Ovis aries: one gene and its partners. The protein of the gene in region 3 interacts with the protein of the main gene of each other region in a biochemical or structural test. Links are inferred from orthologs where the notes say so. Each region holds a gene or a part of one and is shown on either strand. Other genes may lie near its edges.

Evidence for each region.
Region 1: the proteins of FGFR1 (region 3) and FGF4 form a complex in vitro, tested with the Homo sapiens proteins (2 studies listed by BioGRID and IntAct, with this or other methods). The link is inferred for Ovis aries from reciprocal best matches to the Homo sapiens genes FGFR1 and FGF4.
Region 2: the proteins of FGFR1 (region 3) and PLCG1 form a complex in vitro, tested with the Homo sapiens proteins (4 studies listed by BioGRID and IntAct, with this or other methods). The link is inferred for Ovis aries from reciprocal best matches to the Homo sapiens genes FGFR1 and PLCG1.
Region 4: the proteins of FGFR1 (region 3) and NEDD4 form a complex in vitro, tested with the Homo sapiens proteins (2 studies listed by BioGRID and IntAct, with this or other methods). The link is inferred for Ovis aries from reciprocal best matches to the Homo sapiens genes FGFR1 and NEDD4.
Region 5: the proteins of FGFR1 (region 3) and anosmin-1 form a complex in vitro, tested with the Homo sapiens proteins (3 studies listed by BioGRID and IntAct, with this or other methods). The link is inferred for Ovis aries from reciprocal best matches to the Homo sapiens genes FGFR1 and ANOS1.

The regions. Positions count from the first base shown.
Region 1 is NC_056074.1:43,392,260-43,396,123, reverse strand, and holds FGF4 (fibroblast growth factor 4), read left to right. Parts: upstream 1-1,362; coding exon 1,363-1,702; intron 1,703-2,283; coding exon 2,284-2,387; intron 2,388-3,112; coding exon 3,113-3,289; 3' UTR 3,290-3,364; downstream 3,365-3,864. UniProt on the Homo sapiens protein: Plays an important role in the regulation of embryonic development, cell proliferation, and cell differentiation. Required for normal limb and cardiac valve development during embryogenesis.
Region 2 is NC_056066.1:69,782,727-69,787,014, reverse strand, and holds the start of PLCG1 (1-phosphatidylinositol 4,5-bisphosphate phosphodiesterase gamma-1), read right to left. Parts: upstream 2,801-4,288; 5' UTR 2,742-2,800; exon of another isoform or gene 2,389-2,741; intron 2,283-2,388; 5' UTR 2,175-2,282; coding exon 1,958-2,174; intron 1-1,957. UniProt on the Homo sapiens protein: Mediates the production of the second messenger molecules diacylglycerol (DAG) and inositol 1,4,5-trisphosphate (IP3). Plays an important role in the regulation of intracellular signaling cascades.
Region 3 is NC_056079.1:32,688,206-32,692,393, forward strand, and holds the start of FGFR1 (fibroblast growth factor receptor 1), read right to left. Parts: upstream 2,801-4,188; 5' UTR 2,604-2,800; intron 2,342-2,603; exon of another isoform or gene 2,301-2,341; intron 1-2,300. UniProt on the Homo sapiens protein: Tyrosine-protein kinase that acts as a cell-surface receptor for fibroblast growth factors and plays an essential role in the regulation of embryonic development, cell proliferation, differentiation and migration.
Region 4 is NC_056060.1:52,607,912-52,611,858, reverse strand, and holds the start of NEDD4 (E3 ubiquitin-protein ligase NEDD4), read right to left. Parts: upstream 2,801-3,947; 5' UTR 2,301-2,800; coding exon 753-2,300; intron 1-752. UniProt on the Homo sapiens protein: E3 ubiquitin-protein ligase which accepts ubiquitin from an E2 ubiquitin-conjugating enzyme in the form of a thioester and then directly transfers the ubiquitin to targeted substrates. Specifically ubiquitinates 'Lys-63' in target proteins.
Region 5 is NC_056080.1:1,335,053-1,339,333, reverse strand, and holds the start of anosmin-1, read right to left. Parts: upstream 2,801-4,281; 5' UTR 2,705-2,800; coding exon 2,498-2,704; intron 1-2,497. UniProt on the Homo sapiens protein: Has a dual branch-promoting and guidance activity, which may play an important role in the patterning of mitral and tufted cell collaterals to the olfactory cortex. Chemoattractant for fetal olfactory epithelial cells.

The DNA.
Region 1 (3,864 bases), on a different chromosome or scaffold from region 3:
GAGGCTGAAACGGCCTCGGGATGACGCATCTGGTCACAGGTCCTGGTGACAGCAGGGGGTAGGGTGGCTCTGGGCCCCCTGCAGTGGCGGCTGGGCGGGGCTGCTGGGAGGTGACTGCAGCCTCTCCAGGTACTACTGAGAACAGGGGTTTTCACACCTGGGTGAGCCAGCATCTTGCTGGACGCCGCCCCATCAGGCCATAATGGGCACAGTGGGGGTGGGGGGTGGGGACAGCAGGTGGGGGAAGGGAGCCTGTCCAAAGCCTGGCCTGGGCCTAGGGATTCTGCCTTTGGCTCCTCAGTATTCCCACTGCAGAATTAAAGGGAAGGGGAGGGGGGGGGGCCAGCGATGTCCTCTCTGGCTCGGACCCCTGTCCTCGTGTGGCAGTGGGTGTGTATGGGGGTGCAGGGCCAGTGGCCTTGGGGTGCACCGACTCGCCCTGTCTTCTCTCAGCACCAGCCATCCAGGCAACCTGCTCAGGGCATGCTTCCTCCTGGTGGCCATAGCTCCATCCCTGACCACCAGCGCTCAGGTGGCCAACCCCTGTCCTTGCCTCCCTCCAGCCTGTAGCGCTGGATTCTTCCTCACTGGTACTGGCCGTTCCAGTGTGTACTGCCCTTACTGGCCCTCATTCCCAGGTGGGTCCCCGGGGGTCCCAGCCGAGCACAGGTTCTGGAAAGCCCCTGAAAGGCAAAGCGCCGGGAGTGTCTTCTCTGAGCTGAGGGTGCTGGGTGAGGGCTGCGGCGGAGAGGGGCACCCATGGAGACCAGACAGACAGGGACAAAGTGCAAGAGGCCAAACTTGGGCGGAAAGACAAGAGCGGAGGAGACGTCAGGGTCGGGACTCCCAGGTCCGGGGGCCGGGCGAAGCCAGGGGCGGGGGCCGGGGACCCTCCCGGTGGCCGCGGCGGCGCTGGGCCCCGGCCGCCTTCCCTCCCCCAGCCCTGATTGGCAGGCGGCCTGCGACCAGCCGCCGCGAGCGCCACAGCGCCCCGGGCGCCCAGGCGAACGCGAACGGCCCCCTGCGGGAGTAGAAGGGGCGGGGGGGGGGGGATTGGCTATCGGCTATATATATAGCGGCTCGGCGGCTGCGGGCCCAGCGCGCAGGGAGGCGCGCACCGCTCCGCAGGGTCCCAGCCTGGGCCGTGCGCCCTGCCACCGCTGCCTGCCTCTCCATGCAGCCCAGGTAGCTCCCGGCGTCCGGGGGCCCCGTCGCTCGCCTCCCGCTTTCCCCGCCCCGGCCGGGCACTACCTGCCCGGCCCAGGCAGTGCGCTCCCGCAAGCCCCCCACCCACAGACGAGCTCGCCCGCCGGCTTCCCGGGCGCACTGACCCACCCGCGGACGCACGGCCCGAGGGCGGGGATGGCGGGGCCCGGGGCGGCCGCGGCGGCGCTGCTCCCGGCGGTGCTGCTGGCCGTGCTGGCGCCCTGGGCTGGCCGAGGGGGCGCCGCCGCGCCCACCTCCCCCAACGGCACTCTGGAGGCCGAGCTGGAGCGCCGCTGGGAGAGCCTGGTGGCGCGGTCGCTGGCGCGCCTGCCGGTGGCCGCGCAGCCCAAGGAGGCTGCCGTCCAGAGCGGCGCCGGCGACTACTTGCTGGGCATCAAGCGCCTGCGGAGGCTGTACTGCAACGTGGGCATCGGCTTCCACCTCCAGGTTCTCCCCGACGGCCGCATCGGCGGCGTGCACGCGGACGCGAGTGACAGTGAGTGGGGCGGGCCGGACGGGGAGGGTCGGGCCCCAGGGCAGCGGCCGCCCCTTCCAGCTCGCACAGGGAGGTCTCGCCGGCACCTGCTCTTGGGCTATGGGAACCGGAGCGGACTTGGGGTCCGGTCCCCTCCGGCGTAGAGACGCCGGGGACGCCAACACTCTTGGCTTTGCGCAACCCGGCGGCGGAGCCCGCCTCCCGCCTTCAGAAGTCCGGAATCTGGGCGCCGGATTCCAGCGCCTTCGCTCGTGGGCACCAGGAGCGCGGCGCAGCCACCGGCAACTCGCGGGGGGCCGGCCCGAGCGCCCACGTCGGGGCCGGACTCGGGGGCTCCAGGAGGCCACCTCGCTCCTGCAGTCCCGGACTGGGCGCGGCCGGCGCGGGGCCGGGACAGGGGCCGAGTCCGCGGGGCTGCGGGGGCCCTTGGGGAGCGGCCTGCACCACGGAGGGAGCAGGGCCATTTAGATCTCCACCCCCAGAAGTGGGGGTCCCGGAGGGGCGCAGGCGGAGGAGGGGGCCAGGTGGGAAGCTCGGGCTGAGGGTCCGGTGCCCGGGAATAACCCGCGCCCTGCCCCCAGGCCTGCTGGAGCTGTCGCCGGTGGAGCGCGGGGTGGTGAGCATTTTCGGGGTGGCCAGCCGGTTCTTCGTGGCCATGAGCAGCCGGGGCAGGCTCTACGGCTCGGTGAGTACCGTGGGCCCCGCCGAGCCGGGCAGCATCGTGACGCTTCCAGGCCACCCGACGCCAGGATCGTGGAGCTGCGGTGGGGGTCGCGGGACTGAAAGTAACCCCCGCCTCCTGAGGCAGTGCCGCTTACCCTTGTTGTTCAGTCATCCAGTCCTATTGGATTTCTTTGGCGATCCCATAGACCCTCGCCTGCCAGGCTCCCCTGTCCGTGGGATTTCCCAGACCAGAATCCTGGAGTGAATAGGTTGCCAGTTTCCTTCTCCAAAGGATCTTCCTGAACCTGGGGGTCCAACCTGCATCTCCTGCATTGATAGGAGGATTCTTTACCACTGAGCCACCTGGGACACCCACCAGCCCAAAGGAGAGGCCCAGCCCCAAGACAGGGACAGTGCTCCCGCCATCCTTGAGCGGTCATTTGCCAGTGGGTCAAGGGTGCCCTTGGGAGCCGTTGCCTGGAGCCCCTGGGGCAGGTCCCAGTGGGCAGGACGGCAGTCTTTAGGCAGACCCAGTGAGGATGCACTGTTCTGGCTTCCAGGTGCCGGGCAGGTGCTAGGGACTGGCGGGGTCCCTCTCCTCACCCTGTGAAAGTCTGGATACCCTGACTTCTCAGGAGGGACCCCCCAGCCAAGGAGGGGCTGGGAGAGAGAGGAGTCCCTGACCACTGCCCCAGAGGTCCCTTGGCCCGCGATGGCCCCCTGACCCGGCTCCTCCTTCCCTCCCAGCCTTTCTTCACCGACGAGTGCAAGTTCAAAGAGATCCTTCTCCCCAACAACTACAACGCCTACGAGTGCTACCGGTACCCCGGCATGTTCATCGCCCTGAGTAAGAACGGGAAGACCAAGAAGGGGAACCGGGTGTCCCCCACCATGAAGGTCACCCACTTCCTACCCAGGCTGTGATCCTTAGCGCCCCCCGGGAGGGGAGTACCTAGGGTCCCCTTGGTGCACTTTCTTCAAATGGACAGTTGAATGCAAGAGAAGGTGTAAGATATTTAAATTAATTATTTAAATGTGTATATATTGCCACCAAATTATTTATGGTTCTGTGGATGTGTTTTGTATTTTTCTGAAAGAACAAAAGCAACTCCCCCCTCCCTGCCCCGAACCAAAGCCTGACTTTTGCTGGTAAAACAGTAGAGACCCTTCCACTGGGTTTATTCCACTTGTTGGAAAGTTGTCACAAGTGGCTGCTGCTGCTCCATGTTTTAAAACCGATGATGTCAGCGTCCGACATCAACCCCCGCTTTTGCACTGTCCCCTTTGGTTTGGGAGTGAGCATCCTTGTGCCTGGAAAGGTTTCCGGGGGCTTTGGAAGCCAGTGAAGGAAGCTCCCAGGCTTGGCTTCCTTCCTCGCATCCTGCAGTGCCCCACTCCCTTTCTCCCTGAAGATATTCCTTGGGACGTATCGGTTTACTTCGGGTGCAGAAAGCGCACTGGCGAGGCCACCGCTGCCGCTCCGTTTTTAGATCTGCCGT
Region 2 (4,288 bases), on a different chromosome or scaffold from region 3:
GGTCCCTGTGCTCCTCCCTTCCTGCTCCCTCACCCTTTTGTGCAGCCACACAGTCCCAGTCTAAGAGTGACAGTCATAGTCTATCACCGTTGTCATGAATAACAGCTTACATTTATTAAACATTTAGAACGTATCCAGCAGCACAGGAGTTGAAGGCAAGGTTGGATTTGAAGCCCACGTATATTGTCTTACATTAATCCTCTCCTTTATCCCCCTAGAATAACCCCATTTGGTGGAGATATTATTACTCCCACTTTACAGATGGTGACACTAAGGCTCAGAGAACTAGCTGGCTGGGGGCGATACACAACTAATACATACGGGCTTCAAACCCAACCTTGCCTTCAACCGCTGGGCTGCACTTCAACTGCCTGCTGGTCCCATGCACGGTGTGAAACACAGCCTCTCAGCCAGGAGAAGTCTACCTGGGAACCTCAGCCAGCTGCTACCAATTCAGGAGAGCCCGGGGAATCCACAGACACATGGAAGGGCCATGCCTGGAGTCTGACGCCAGGGTGATGTCCCTCCAGTCCTCTGCAGGATATGTCCTTCCTCCACTCTGGAATCCAGCCTCTCAAATTCTCTAACATTTTCTCCTGCAGGCTGCCAGGGCCCGAGGAGGGGTCACGGAGGAAGGTGGCTGTCGTGTGGAAGTTCAGCAGCTGTGTGAGATCTGGAGTGTGTGGCTGAGGATGGCTGTCTCACCACAAGACCTTCCTTCCTCCCCGTCTCCTCAGTCATCTACACGCCATACCCAAGGTCTGGAAGACCTTCTCTTGGGGGGTGTCACTTCCTGAACCCTCTTCCTCTACACAGTCCTAATTCTGAGCCTGGCTCTAACTCCAGTCTCGGGGTGGGGGTGGGGGTAGAGGGGGTTCTTGCAGGAAGCAACCCACAGCCTGGGGTTGCAGACACATCATCTCACACTTGGAGGTGGGCGAATGGAGGGCAGAGCTGGGGGGCCCATCCGGCCACAGCACAGGCACGCACTCAGTGGAATCACTCTCTGAAGGATCTGGGGTTTTTCAAAATCCCCCAACACACTCTTTCCCAGAAGCAGCCAAGGTCAGGTCTGGGACAGCAAAGAGGCAGGAAATAGTAGCCGCTCCTGGCTCCCTCCAGCCACAGGACGCAGGACACAAAGAGCTGGACCCCAATTTGGCTGCGTCCTCTTGAAGAGTACCTGACACGAAGCAGCGAGGCTGGGCTTTCTGGGGCCAAGCTCTGGAGAATGTGCTTCCAAAGGACAAGGGGAAGGCTGGCCTCTTTCCCTGCCCTGGCTTTGGGAGTCTGCCCACGCACACAGACCTCCAAAATTCAGTTTCAGGACAAAAGAAGCGGCGGGAAAAACATCCACTGCCTCCTCTCGGGCTTTTCCAAACCAAACAAGACCACCTTCCTCCCTGGCCCCAAGAGAGAGATGAGTAGGCCCGGCTCTGCTCCAAAACCAGCCCTACGCCAACAGCTGCCTAAGTTCTACTTGGGGAACCCAAAGGTTCCTTTGTAAGTAGGAGCCCGGCCGTGAGGCCCAGAGGTGCACCAGATTGCTCTTTTTGGAAAAACGGTGCATCTGGTCTGGCCTCCGGTTCCGCGGCTGCCGGGGAGAGGACACTGCCTCGGCCGACACCGCTCCCGGGGTGTCGGGGGACCCGACGCCGGCCCCGCTGGTCTCCAACTCGCTAGGATTTTTAGGCCTCTGGGCAAAGCGCCTGGAACACTCCCCCCCTTGCTGGGGGAGGGGGTGTCCTGTCAGGTGACTGAGGACCCGGATGCCCCCCGCCCCCGGTGACCACCCTGGCCGAGGCGGGGGCGGGGCCCGAAAGTTCGCCGGAGTCTCTCCAGCGGCGGCCCCCGGGCGCGCGCAAGCCGGGGCGCAGACCCCGCGCCGCCCGAGCGCGCGCGCCCGCGCAGCAGGCCCGGGGAGCCGGGGGTGTGCAGCGAGGGGGAGCGCACTTACTGGCCCCCTCGATCTTGTCGGCGCCTCGGCTCCACGTGATCTGCCGCGTCTCCAGCTTGACCTGGAAGGTCTTCCGCTCGGGCCGCTGCGACTTCTTGGAGTAGAACAAAGTCATGACGGTGCCCACCTCGAGGCTGCGGCAGAGGTGCACCACCTCGGCGTCCGAGGGCGCGCCGGGCCCGCAGCCATTGGCGCAGGGGGACGCGGCGCCCGCCATGGCTCGGGTGCCGGGGGCGGCGGCGGCGGCGCAGGCCCGGCGGGAGCGAGCTGGCGGCGGCGGCGGCGGCGCAGGCGGCGGGCGAGCGGACCCCGGCGGCGGCGGCTCCTGCGGGCGGAGACGGGGCGGGGCCTGAGCGGGGGCGGGGCGGTCCTGCAGGCCCCGCCCCGGCCCGCGCGCCGGGAACAAAGGCGCCCGCGCGCCCGTGGGGAGGACCCCCGCCCGCCGCGCCTGCGCCCCGAGACCCCCCGGGCAGGCCCCGCGTCAGGGCACGCGCGCGCGCGCCTCCCGCAGTCCGCCAGCCGGGCCCACGGCCCCGCGGGGTCTCTTCGCGCCGCCCCGGACACAGCCCGGCTGCCACGGCCGGTCCCGTCACGCGCGGCAGCCTCGCGCCGGCCCGGCCGTCTGTCGCGCGCGCACAGGCGGCTGCCCAGCCCACCGTCCCGCACAGGCCCGGCCGCGGCGGCTCCTTCCGAAGCCCGCTAGCGGGGCGACGCCCGCGCGGCCACCGGGAAAAGAAGTGCAGGCCCGGGGCGCCTCCCGGGGCCCGCCGGTCAAACCCGGTACCTGGGAGGGCTGCCCGGCTGAGGGAACCAGGCCAGGCCGGGCCGCCTTAGACCGGCGGCGGCGGCGGCGGCGGCGGCGGCGGAGGAGGAGGCGAGTCCTCCGCGCGTCCTCTCCAGGGCGGGGCGGGGGCGGGGCCACCCGGTGATTGGTCGGCAGGCTCTGACGGACAGTCTGAGTGTCCCGCCTCTCCCCCCTCCCTTCCCCGGGCAGCCGGGGGCGGCCCCGCCGGCAGCGCCTCCGACCGTCGGACCCACGATCTTCCTGGCCCTGCGGCCGAAGTGGCCTCGCGGGTGTGTGTGGGGAGTCCCGTTATTCGGAGTAGCCCACAGGCCTGAGCATCCCCTGCGAGCCCTCCAGTGGTCTTGGCCTGGCCATACACTTCGCACCCCCACGCCGCGAGTATCCACGCGACTAGGATGGGGACTCAGGCCCTACGGCTCCGCACCATTCCTGCAAATGCTCTCCCGAGCTTTGGTTTTCCCGGGCCGACTCTATCCCTGTTTTCCTCCTCGGTCTCTGGCCGCTGCCTTTCGACACCTCAGCAACTTCTCTTGCTCAGGGGTGGGTCCTGAGTCAGTTCCCAAGGCGGCCTGACCTCTCAGCGTCACTGCCCCCCGCCCCCTGCCAAATTCAGGCACCCGAGCGCCGAAGCTCTATCCCTCCCTGCATCCCGTTACCTGTTCCACAACCCCACGTAGCACAGACATCTCACATCTCTCTTCAAATTGCTTCTCCCATGGTCTTCAGTTTCTCAGAACATGCCTCTGGTAAGGTGCTCGGGCTAAAACCGATGGAGACAGCCTTGGTTCCTCTCTCTCTCTCCCTCAACCCCACAGCACTCCGTCAAGTCCCATTCCGTCTGCCGTCCCATGTCTCCGCTCTGCCCACAACCTCAAGGCCCATCTTCTCTCATCCAGACTATTTACCCTCCTTGGTTTTGCCTGCATGTATTCCCTATGCTCTAGTTTGTTTGTTTCTTTTTAAATTTGGCTGTACCGGGTCCTAGTTGCAGCATGCAGGATCTTTTAGTTGGGGGCTGTGGGATCTAGTTCCCTGACCAGGGATCGAACCCAGGCCCCCTTTGTTGGGAGTGCAGTCTTAGCCATTGGACCACTAGGGAAGGCCCTATGCTCTGGTCTTCAAAATGAAATTAAATCCTGACTCCCTACCTCCAGGCTCAAATCATCCAGAACTTGCCATGGCACACAAAATCCCCTACCTGGCCCAGCAGGTCCAGCATGGTCTGGCCCCTTTCTATCCCACTTCATCTCTCACCACCTCCCTTTCATTCCATTCTCCAGGCACAAGTTCTTTTGGTGATTATTCGATTAATCTGTACTCTTTGTGTTGCTACAGCCACTCCCTAGACGCACCCCGGGCCGTCTAATTGCCCTGTCACAGAACACCGCCCAAGCTAAAGACACCTTCAGTCACAGTAGAGCCTGTCTGACGGATGTTGAGCCAGACAAAGCAGGACAGCATACTGCATTTTACAGGTAAGAGGCCCAGCAGGGCACCCAGCTGATGCTAGAGAAAGATCCAAGGAG
Region 3 (4,188 bases):
ACCCCGGCAGCTTCCCAGTCCCCAAACACCTGGCATTCCTCGGGGTGGGGGGGGGGGGGGGGGGGGGGGGGGGGGGGGCGGTCCACGGCAGCAGCCCTGGAGGTCTTCCCAGCCATTTGGGGGCGGGGGCGGGGAGGGGGTAGAATACGTAAACAAGTCATTAGGGAGGCAGGCCATCCTCCCTAAGGTCTCTGGGTCTTCCCCACCAACACCACCAAGGGCTTCCCCTGGGTCACTGGAAGGAAGGCTGATGACCCAGGCTTGGGGCGGGGGGGGGCGGGGGGGGTGTAATTAACCAGACGGAGGCACGTCCCAAGGGGCCCTGCTACTTAGCCTTTAAACAAGCCTCAGGGAGGAAACGGGGAGCCCGGGCCAATAGTTCGGGGGTGGGGGGTGGGGGAGGATGGGGAATGGCCACTTTCTGCCCCACAGTCTCAAGGCTAAGGTTGTATAATTTAGACTGTTTTCCAAAAAAAGCGCAGGGCCGGAGGTGCAGAGGATAGAGCGCCATCTGCGGAGGAAACAGTCACCTTAATTACCATGTCTAGAGAAAGTGCGATTTCATTACAGCCTCCGAACGACCGCCCAAAGGAGGAAACCAGAGAAGTGTTTTCAATTTGAAAGAGGCTGGAGAGGAGAGGGTGAGAGACCAACTCTCCCCACCCTCTCGCAACTTTGGAACCAGAAAGCCCTTTCCTGCCTCAAAGGGCAGAACCAAAAACCCTCAACAGGCCAACCCCTTTCAAACCTGCGGCCGGCGCGGACTTGGTAAAACGCCCCACGTTAGCCTCCGGGAGCGGCCGCCCAAAGAAAGAACTCCTTCAAAACACCAAGGGAGCCACAGCCCGGGCCCCCCTCCCACGCCCAAGCCGCTGCGCCCCGGGCTTGCTCCAGGGAGGGTGGAAAAGGGGACGCGTGACGCCACCGCCGGGCGGCCCGAGACCCGGCGGCGGGCTCCGGACAGGGTCAGACACTCCCGCCGCTCCGGCTCTAACTGAAAAGGGAGGAGGCTGCAATGCTCCGGTTCCAGAAACTTCTGTCAGGGCCAGCTCTGGGTCAGACCGGTGGCCAAAGAGGCCACCACTTATCAGAGGAGATATTGTCATCCCCTAAACCTCCTCTCGCCGGCAATGCCCCTTTCCCGCACGAGCCAGAAAGCGCCAGCACAGCCTAAGTACCCTGGCATCCAGGGTAACTTCTCTCCCCCAGTCCCAGCGCCTCGTACCCAAGTCTTAAGAAAAAATCGTAAAGAGCGAGGTGGTGAGGACAAGTTATAGGATCCCTGTTTCGATCCGGGGGAGGGGGCAGGGAGGAACAGGGACGTTCAAGCGGCTGCGGTGTACCCGGGTGGGGTGAAACGGAACCAGATGCGGCGGCTACATCTGGAAAATGGGGCGGGGGTGGGGGGAGTGGTGATGGGGAGGTGGTGGGGAGACACGGCGGAAACTTTGAACAGGGCCAAAGCCTCTGGGTCCAGACAAGAGATGCAGGTTTCACCGCTCCCCAAGCCCTCCACTCCCCAACCAGAGGCATCTGACTGCTTCCATAGGATCTGGGTTAAATGATCGCATCTACAACGTCAATAAATTCCTCTGCAAACGAAGGTTCCAGCCCCCCTCTTCTCCTCACCCCAAACATAGCGGGAAAGGGGAGCGGGAAGGGGGCAGAGGGTTCTGGGCCCGCGAAGCAACAAGCGCCGGTGCCGAGCGAACCGCACCGGACAAAACCCTCATCCCTTCCCCCACCTCCTCGAACCAGATAGGAACTGACCAATCCCTTCCCCCAGACCCCGTAATGGGGCTTAACCTCACCCGCTGGGCGCCCTCCCCTTCCCCAAACTTCCGACCCTTTCAGAGACGGACTAAGTCGGAGATCAGCGCCTCTCGAAAAAGGGAATTCCTTTCTCGCTCTTCGCTGAAGCAGCTTCAGCCATTTGGTGACGACACCCCCCTTTAAAACCGACTGGAAGAGAAGCGAACCGACCCCTCCACTTCCTTCCCCTTTCAGGCCCCCAACCGCCCACCCGCCTGCGGCAGTGACCCCAGACTTTCCCGGAGATGGAAAAGGACTTAGGAGGACCCCGGGTTTTTTCTTTTTTCTTTTTTTTAGCGTTCCACCCAAAGCTACCTGCTGGATCGCGGAGACTCCCCATGGGTGGACTAAAAGGAGATGGTGTGGAACGCAACACACACACACACACACACCCCACCGCGCTGCCCGCCCCCGCCTGCCTCCCCAGGCCCAGGAAACCCAGGACCGCCGCCGCCTCGGCCCCGGGCCCTGTCCCTCCCCGGACTCACCGCGGAGCCGCCGCCGCCTCGCCAGCTCCCCAGCGCGAGTTGGCGGAAAAGTTGGGCGGCGGGACGGGCGCGGGGAGGGGGCGCAGAAGGCGACGCGAGCGGAGGGAAGGGAGGGGAGACAAAAGGGGGGCGCCGGGAGCTGGGCAGGGAGCCGGGGGTGGAGAGGGGCGGGTAACGAGCGGAGGGAGGCGCCGGACCCGACTGCGCTGCGGCGGGGAGAGCGCGCGGCCGGGAGGCTCCGGCGCCGGGGGCCCGCCCGGGACGCGGAGCCCGCCCCGGATCCGGGGGCGCCGCGGCTCTTACCTCACTCGGCGCTGCGGTTCCGCCTCTGGAGAGTCCGCCGTGGCTCGTGCGGGCGGGCGGGCGTCCGCGTCCCTGGCTCCGGCCCGCCGCCCCCGGGCTCCGCTCGGGTCCTGGCGGGGCCGCAGGAGCCCCCGCGGCCGGCGCTCGACTGCCGGTGGCGCTCGGGGCTCGGCGCCTCCAGCCCGGGCGGGAACAATGGAGCCGAAGCTGGTGCCCCGGAGGCGGGGCGGGGGGAGGGCTCCTGTCCGCCGCCCGGGGTCTCCAGACCCTGTGGGCCCCCCCTCTCCAGCACCGGGCGGCGGCCCTCAAGCTTCTGGCAGCCCGAGCTCCATCGCCTGGCGGGGGCCCCGGCGCCGCGGCGTGCCCGACTGCCGCCCTGGTCCCCTGCGCCCGGCGGGGCGCCCCTCGGACCGGAGAAAAGTCCTCGGGCTCCGCCGCTCTTCCAGCTGCGGCGCGCGCTCTCGGCCGGGGAAGGCGAGGTCGCCGCAATGCGCTAAGCGGAGTCTCGGGGCTGTCCGGACGTCGCCGCCCAGCTCTGGGCACAGCCCGGGCTCCTCCGCGCGCTGCGGCTGGACCAGACTTCGGGCTCCCGCGTCGCGCCGCAGCCACAGCCGAGGCCGCCGCGCCAGTGCCCGCAGGAGCGCTCCGAGCGCTATGCGCCGGCAAGGCGCGAGGGCTCCTTCTCTCACTCCCACCCCACGCTGGTCCCACCTCCTCCTCCTCCCCCTGCCGCTGCCTGCTGGGCCTTGTAGTTCTGAGCCGAGGGCCCCCGAGAAGGGGGGAGCGGGTTGAGTCGCCCTGCGCTCTGCTGCTCCTTTGCCTCAGTCTGTCTGGCCTCCTTTGACGCGCGCCCGCCCCTCCAACTGAGCCCCTCCCGGAGGGCGCACGAATTTCGGGCTGTGGACGGATGAGCAGTTGGAGGGATGGAGATGAGACCCTGAAGCCCTCAGGTTGCACACGGTAGCACTTTGGACTCTGACCGAGTGCCCTGGGGAAACGATGTTCTCGCTCTGTATCTCAGTTTTCACATCTGTAAAAGAGGATAGCGAAGAGATCAAACCAGTCAATCCTAAAGGTCAGTTCAGTTCAGTCGCTCAGCCGTGTCCGACTTTTTGCCACCGCATGGACTGTAGCACGCCAGGCTTCCCTGTCCATCATCAACTCCCCGAGCTTGCTCAAACTCATGTCCATCGAGTTGGTGATGCCATCCAACCATCTCATCCTCTGTCGTCCCCTTCTTCTGCCTTCAATCTTTGCCAGCATCAAAGTCTTTTCCAATGACTCAGTTCTTCGCATCAGATGCCCAAAGTATGGGAGCTTCATTTTCAGGATCAGTCCTTCCAGTGAGTATTCAGGACTGATTTCCTTTAGGATAGACTGGTTGGATCTCCTTGCAGTCCAAGGGACTCTCAAGAGTCTTCTCCAACACCGCAGTTCAAAAGCATCAACTCTTCGGTGCTCAGCTTTCTTCATGGTCCAACTCTCACATCCATACATGACTACTGGAAAAACCATAGCTTTGACTAGATGGATCTTTGTTGGCAAAGTAATGTCTCTGCTCTTTTATTTGCTGTCTAGGTTGGTT
Region 4 (3,947 bases), on a different chromosome or scaffold from region 3:
ATTTTAGAAGGCACCCTTAACTGGTAGCTAAAGAAAAACAGGGTGGAACAAAATTCCTGTGGTTAAGGGTATATACAAATGCAAATACCATTTATTTTTCCTCTGCTTTAAACATTCAGTATAATAGTTTTTATCAATGATCAAATAAATATATGTATTTCAAAGAAATATTTTCTCTATGTTCACCTATAAGAAAAGTTTCACATTTAAGTAGACTTTTTACTGTTTAATACTTTAAGTGGCTTTCTATATTTTACTTTTTTTCATAATGCTTAAAGAGGGCTTAAAAGGGCTTTTTTTTCAAAATGCTTAATGCTTAAAGCATTTATAATGCTTTAAAATAAATACTAAATGAGCATTTTTGAAAATAAGAATGAAATACGGAGTTAGACTTTAAAACACCATGCCACTCAAGGGGAAAATATACTAAGGGAAAATATACTAAGGCAAAATATTATTAAAAAATTATTATTTAAAGCCTGTTCTTATGCTACAGAATGTTTTATGGCTTAAATCACTTTGGAAAGGTTTTTTTTTAATGCATATCTTGTATGCTGATAAAATAATAAATAGAGTAAAAAACTATTAGGCACTTTTCAGATTCACAAATATCAAATTCATGACTACAAAGTACTTGCTAGCTAAGGACCAAGAAAATATATAAAGCAGCCAAGTTATAATAAATTTTACCAAATATTTCACAGAGCTATTCTAGTATAAACTAACATTTTCCAAAACCAAAGGAAACTTACCTTATAAGAATGCTTTAAAGAATTAGGTAGTTCATTTGTGAAATCTCTGTTGCTGTCTCTGGTTAAATTATCAACTTTACCTTCATTTCCAGATGCAAACTTTATGAGTAATTGAGATGGTCCCCCCTTAGAACAATTGTGCTTAAGGCTAGATAAACAGGAAACATTTGGATAAGTTCCCCCCAATGAAATACTTCTCTGTAAAAGAGCATGGTTTTTGTTTATCTGTAAATTTGGTCTTTCCAACTGTCCACTGATATTTATTTGATAATCTACATTTTGGGAGGATGGTAAACATGCAGATGTCCTATGCATAAGCTTAATAAACTCTGGATCAGAATTAAGCTCAGTTTCTGACATCTCTGGTTTACAATCACCATTTGCTGCTTCACAATCTAATGCAGTTGCTTTCTGTTGGGTAAAATGCAGTGAAACACAAGAATATCCTTCAGATGGCTGTTCACAGACAGTCTGATTTGGACTAGTATTTGCAATAATGATTTTCTTTTGTAATGAGCCCTTCCTGTGAAGAGGTCGTATGTCTCTTACTTCTCCGGGAGTACAGACTGTCTTGGATAACCGAAGTCCATTGACAGCTGTTGAAAGAAATCCCTTAGCACTAGTGCCATCTTCACTGTGGGCAATTTCACTAGGAGAAATAATAAACTGGTGTGAGGTCTGATAGGATCCTTTGCTTGGAAGAGTACCTGTACTTGTTGGAGAAGTTGGTGGTGTATTTGAAGGACTCCTAGGAAAAATGACTAAGGATGAACAACGTTTTAGTGGAATTTTCGAGTTCCTGCTCACTGGCAATTTCATAATCTCTAGTCCATGATCCAAGTCATCCTGGACAAAGGGAACTGTACTTGTACTTGAGAAAATTTCACATGGAGCAGTATTCCTGTTTGGCACACTTCTATTGGAGGCGCTGTCAGAAGATAAATTTCCACCAAAAAAGGTATCATCAGTTGGTGGAAAAGTATAACCACTGCTGTCACTGATGCTACTGTTGGTGTATGAACCTCCACTGGTGATACTTGTGCAGGACCCATAATCACTACCATTGCTGCTGTAAGACCCATTTTCACTGGCTGAAAAGTTACCAAGACTACCACTGCAAATGGCAGGACTGCTTAAGAGGTTACCATCATCCGTGGCATTCAGTTCGTTATCAACCACAGCACTGCCATCCTTTAAGACACAAGTAAATGAAGCATCATCACCATCAGCTAAGACATTGCCAGACTGAAGACATCCACTGTACCTTGTTGGTTGTAATGATATCTGCAGACAGCTGCTCTTTTTATGAACATTTTCAGGTGAAGGAAAAGATGATCTTTCCCGAGACTTAAGGTTTTCCTTTATTAACGGAGCTAATGCAGTCTGTTTGGGAGTCAGCTTCATTTGAACCACGTTCGCCGTTGAAATCCGTGCTGGTCTCGTGAAGCACATGTGAATGCTGCTATCCAAATCATCTCCGGAGGTTTCTGACAAAGGATAAGTATTGCTTCTTCTGGCTGCAAAGTGCAATCGTAAGCTTTGTGCCATTTGTTCTCATTTCCAAACATGTTAAGGGCTGAGAGTCATAACAAAGATCTCTGTCGGTAGACAGGCTAGAAGCAGCTGCACTGCAGCAAAAGAAAAAATCATTTGTGTGCCTGAAAGAGCTCAGAAGTAGTAGTCTTTATCCTAAGCAAAATCTTAAAGACCAGATAGCATATGAAAGAAAAAGACGGCCCATTCCTGAGACTGACGTTTCCAAAATGTCTTGAATCGCTTGTAGTCAAAATGCCTTCACTTACAAAGCACTTGATTTCCAGCGACCTTTAAGCTGAGCTCAGCTGCAGCACACTGCCTCAAACACTGCCAACCTTGTTTCAATTATACCTTCTCCAATTTGCATGAATGAGTAACACAAGAACAACAATCTTCTAGCATTTCAAGTTGAAACAGTATTTTTTTCACTCCAGCTCTACTAAATGAACATTTAACTCTGTGAATCACGGTGCCTATACTTTCTCCAGCAGAGTTTGACCACTAATATTTTTACCCATAGGGATAGAATTACAGGAAGTTGGTAGGAACGAAACTCCATGTAATTGAGTATCAAATCAAGGATTGCATTTCCAAATAGTGGCCATACTAGGAATCCAGTCAACTTAGTAAATGTAGAAAGGAATATAGACTGTTAATATTTTTAAAAGGAGAAAGTTCAAATGTTTGTATATATTTGGAAACACCAAAACTGCGGGGGTGAATTGAAAGTTTAGCATTAAACCAAACATAAATATTTTAGTTTCCAAAACACTACGTACTTATAAAAAGTGAAAGCTGAAGGATCGAAATACAAAATTTGCCTAGTAATACCATTGCAAAAATTGAGCATAGGTCTGAGAAAAAAAACGTTTGTGAGAAGCTGTCACCAAGCATTTTCTCCTGTAATTTTAAGGCCTTTCCAGCCAAGCAGTACAGTCTTTAAATGATTCCATTTATATTTTGACTATTAAAACTCTGCCAAGAAATAGCCTAAGCAAACATTCCATTAAAAATATATGCAGATTAGACAGAAAAACTATACCCTAATATAGTTTGAGCACACAAGATATTTTATTCCACTGTCTATGCAATTCATTCACTTAAGAGAGTGTTGTGGTAAGTAAAGAAGTCTAAAAAGGATTTAACACATCAAATAAACATATCTCAATGCCAACTCTATTCTGAAAAACTCTAAGAGCTCTTTGCTGGCCCCTACTGGTGCATTGAAACAATTCATTTAGTTGTTTGATATCTATAAAGAAGTATAAACCGTATGGCATATTTCTTTATATAGACAAAGTACATACTTGTTTACATTTTTGAGTACTAGCACTGACCTAAAGATGGAATTACTTACTACTGCTGATAAAGCTCCCGCAGGAGAGAACAGTAAACTGTTTGTCCTTTTAGACGTTGTGATTTTGTATATATATACATTTTTTTCTGCTTTGTATTTATTTAACCTTTACTTTATTTTCAGTTTACTAGGTAATAAAAGTTTAATATTTTAATTTCTCCCCTAAATGTCATAGACCAAGGTTGGTATTCTATTTGAAAGAAACACATTTATTTTAAAATAATACTCTAGGGTATATTTAAACTTCTTACCTGAATTTTACAGCTGGAACTCCAGTAATAAATATATACTGGCTCATTCAT
Region 5 (4,281 bases), on a different chromosome or scaffold from region 3:
ACAGTCCAACTCTCACATCCGTACATGACCACAGGAAAAACCATAGCCTTGACTAGACGGACCTTAGTCGGCAAAGTAATGTCTCTGCTTTTCAATACGCTATCTAGGTTGGTCATAACTTTTCTTCCAAGGAGTAAGCATCTTTTAATTTCAAGGCTGCAATCACCATCTGCAGTGATTTGGGAGCCCCCAAAAATAAAGTCTGACACTGTTTCCACTGTTTCCCATCTATTTCCCATGAAGTGATGGGACCAGATGCCATGATCTTCGTTTTCTGAATGTTGAGCCAACTTTTCACTCTCCACTTTCACTTTCATCAAGAGGCTTTTTAGTTCCTGTTCACTTTCTGCCTGATACCTCAGCATCCTTCCAATTATTTAAAGAGGGGAGGGACGTGGAAGCTTGAGGTTTCATAAGGAGCGTGCGCCTCTGTCTTTTCAAATCTTAAGAAAGCTTAATCCCTGCAATTTAGATAAATCAGATAGGCATTACCAGGTTAGGGTTAAACCTCCAAGAATGGCTTTGCAATTGATTGCAGAAACAGCAGTTATTAAGTCCTAACTGAGTAATTTGCAGCTTGGTTCACCCCCCACCCCAGCTAATTAAAATGTAATCAGGATTGTCTGGCAATGTGTATTCTGTCAGCAGTTTTTTCTTCCGAAGAGAAATCATGCCAAGAGACCACAAGAAAACCCTTTCACGGGAATTGGCTTGATCTGCACTGTTTCTTTAGGCGCTGAAACTGTAAAACAAATAAATTACAGCGACTGACAGTTCAATTTAAAGAAGGAAGGAAGGGAAGAAGAAAAAGAAAAGATAGTCTTTCTCCCTGGGAACAGGATGCTGTTTTATGTCGTTGTTTGAACAATAGGGTAGCATTGCCTCGGAAGAGCGACCGCAGGGTAGGGCAGGGGGGCAAGAATCCGGGTGGCTGGGAGGGACCCTCTCCAGGGTGTCCGCGGAATTTCAGCGCAGGAGACCACACCCCCCGGTCCCTTCCCCGAAGACCAAGGGGGATGGCGGAGTTCTCTGAAACCTACGGATGCCCCTTCTCTGCGAACACGCAGAACCGCGCGCACTCGGGCGCGTGGAGACTTGGCCAGCGGGTTCACTCTCTGTACATCCCAACTTTTAGCTCTTCATGGGCCATTCCGGGCAAGGTTTCATTAGCTCTCTCCCCCCAGAATGAACGGGACTTAAAGGCTTCGGAGATTCGTCCCAAACTCCACGGTCACGGCAATGGCCCCCATCGCAGCTTAGTGCCCGGGGACCCTTGGCAGGCCCCTTTGACGCCGCGCAAGCGCGAGAGGCGCCTCGTTTATTTCAGAGGGACTCGGCTTAGAAACCCACCGAGGAGCCGCGCGGCCCCTTTCTGGGAGCCGCAGTTTTCCCTGCTGCCAGAAGTTGGGATCTTGTAACAGGTGAACTACTGCAAGGCTAGAGAGGAGACGGCGAGGCCGAGAAGCGAGCACACGAGAGGAATTAGGTTATACGCGTGAATGGTTGCAGAGTGCGCGCGCTCGGATCAGCTGGGGACCGCGGCTGCGAGGCGAGCCTGGAGCCGGCTCGGGAGCGGTTCCCGCGCGCCCATCGGCACCCAGGGTCCCTGAGTCACTCCCCGCTGTGGCTCCTCTCAGCATCCCAGCCATCTACTGATGTCAAGCGTCCTGTCCCCTGAACCCTCTACACACGCACACGAGCCCCTCTACCCCGAAGCCGGCAGAATCTACGACGGTTGGAAGAGATACTGGCTCCGGGAGTCCTCTCGGAACATCCGAACTTGACGTCTCCAAGTCCCTTATCCGTTGCCATCTCTCCCCTTGGTCCCCCCGCCACTCGCTGGCGACACCTAGACGCTCTGGGGCTCCGAACTGGGGCGGCACAGTCACCGGCAGTAACCAGCTCCCCACCCCACCCCACCCCCAACACAAACTCGCTGAAAGATACGACCCTTGGCTGGGGCTCCAAGGGTGGACTCCGCGCTCTCGGCCCGCCGAGTGCGAAAGCAAAGCTCAAGAGAGACAAAAAAGTCTCGGCCGGCGGGCACCTGCGGCGCCAGGGCTGGTCGCGCAGGGTCCTCGGGCGCAGCGGAGCGCGGGCCTCCCTCGCTCTGCCCGCGGTGCGGAGGGCCGGGAGCGCCGGGGGACTTTGAGGGGAGACTGGCCAGCGGCCCGCAGCCCCGCGGCGGAGGTCCCGGGGCAATTCACAAGCCCACAGCCCACCCCACTCCATCCTTGGAAGCCACAAAACCGCTCTCCCTTCCCACAGGAAACCCCCTTTTGGTTTTCCCCGGGGAAGAAGGGAGTTACGTCGGGAGCCGGCGAGGGGCTGCAAAAGGGGGATCGCCCACGGGCCCCCCTCCCCCGAGGTACAATCCACCCCGCGCGTAAAGCCGGACCCCGGCCGGCTGCCGCTGAGCGAGAAGTCTGAGCGGCGAGGCTGGAAGGCGCGCGCCCCGCAGCGCCAGGGGAGGGCCCGGGCGCGCGGTGGTGCGTACCTGGAAGTGCTGGAAGAAGGCGGAGATGCGCGTGATCTGCAGGCTGAGGCACCTGGAGGCGCAGCGGGCGCGCTGTACGCTCCCTGCCGCCAGCGACTCATCCAAGCGCCGGGCAGCGGCCGCGCCGGAGCCGGCAGCCAGGCAGCCCCCGGAGGCCGCCAGCCAGAAGCAGAGGGTCAGGGCCGCGCCGGGCGCCCCGGCAGCCATGGCTGCGGGTCGGAGGGCGCGCGGGCGCCGGGCGCTGGCCGAGGCTCCCAGCTCCGCACCGCCGCCCGGGACCGCGCGGCCGCCGCAACTCCGCTGGCAAAGTTCAATCAGGCCACTCCCGCCCCGCGCCCTCCCCCGGCCCCGCCTCCGGGGGCGGGGCGAGGGTGACAGGCAGCCGCGCCATTGGCTGCGAGGAAAGTGAGTGACGGGGGTGGGCGGGGCGGACGGAGGGCCGTGGGCAGGTCCAAGGGAGCCAGACGCGCGCCCGCCTGCCAAGCGCCTCTGGTGCGGCCCTCTCCTGGGGGTCCGCTTCCCCGCGCTCTGCCTGCGTTCCCTCCTGCCCATCGGGAGTCAACAGCAGGCCGCGGGCCTGGGTGTCAAGTGCTGGCCTGGTCATCAGGCCTGGGACCCCCACCTGGACGTGAGAACAGGCTAAGGATAGAGGGAAGCGCCCCCCCGAACTTATGGGCTTCCATCCCGGCTTCGACTCCAGTGGTCCCAGGTCCTACTCATATGCTTTGGAGTATTTGGGTTTTCCCTTTTCTGAAGAGCGGAAAGGAGCGAATGGACGGGACTGCGCTGGGCGCAATAAGAGGAGACAGGCAGGGACGTTTGACGCCCCTTCTCCCCGTAGATCCCTCCTCCCCTTCCCCCGTTCCTCCTTTCCTCAACCTTTGCCCTCTTCCTTCCTGCTTCCTTTTCTTTCTTCCCTCTCTCCTTCAACTGCGTCCATTGAGACCTTTCACTAGTCCTTTGCTTCCCTCTTAACGAGCATGCATCACCTAGAAATCCATCCAGGCAGGTCGCTAGGAACATTTATGGAGAAGGGGACGACAGAGGAGATGGTTGGATGGCATCATTGACTGGACGCACGTGAGTTTGAGCAAGCTCCAGGAGTTGGTGATGGATAGGGAAGCCTGGCATGCTACAGTCTATGTGGACGCCAAGAGTCGGACATGACTGAGCTACTGAACTGATGACATGGTCACACATACCTCGTCTCCGCAGGTGTAAGGCCTTACCTGGCCTGCACGAGGGACCTATTCAAGTTGGCAATCTTTCCTGCATCCTTCTCTGTGGGGCCCTAAATGGGAAACCTTCAAAAGGGGCTGGCTTTGCCGTTTAGAGCTAAGATGGCGCCTGGCGGAAGAGATGAGGGCGTGGCGTAAGTTGTTTGTTAAAACTTTTTATTGGCTCCCTTGATTTCCGTGCACCTGGACAGAGCATGATCACCATAGAGTCCTGTTAGGATGAAGCACATGACGACTTGACCTTTAACGTGATTGGTGCAACTATGGTATATTAAGATTTGACCTTTAATGTGATTGGTGCAGCTATGGAAAGTCCCTCACAAAACCCCCTTGCTTGCCTATATAAACCAAGAGTTTGTGGCAATAAAGCGGAACTGCTTACACGGAGCCCTTGTTGCTTCTGGTTGTTTTTAGCTCGCTGAGGGGTTGGGTTGCAGACAGCAGGCTCACCTCTTCTCGGGACCCCTCGGCTTTGCTGAGGGAAGTTCCACTGCCTCTCTTTCTGCGCAGTGCCCGCCGCACTTCTCTTTGCCTCAAGTCTTTCGA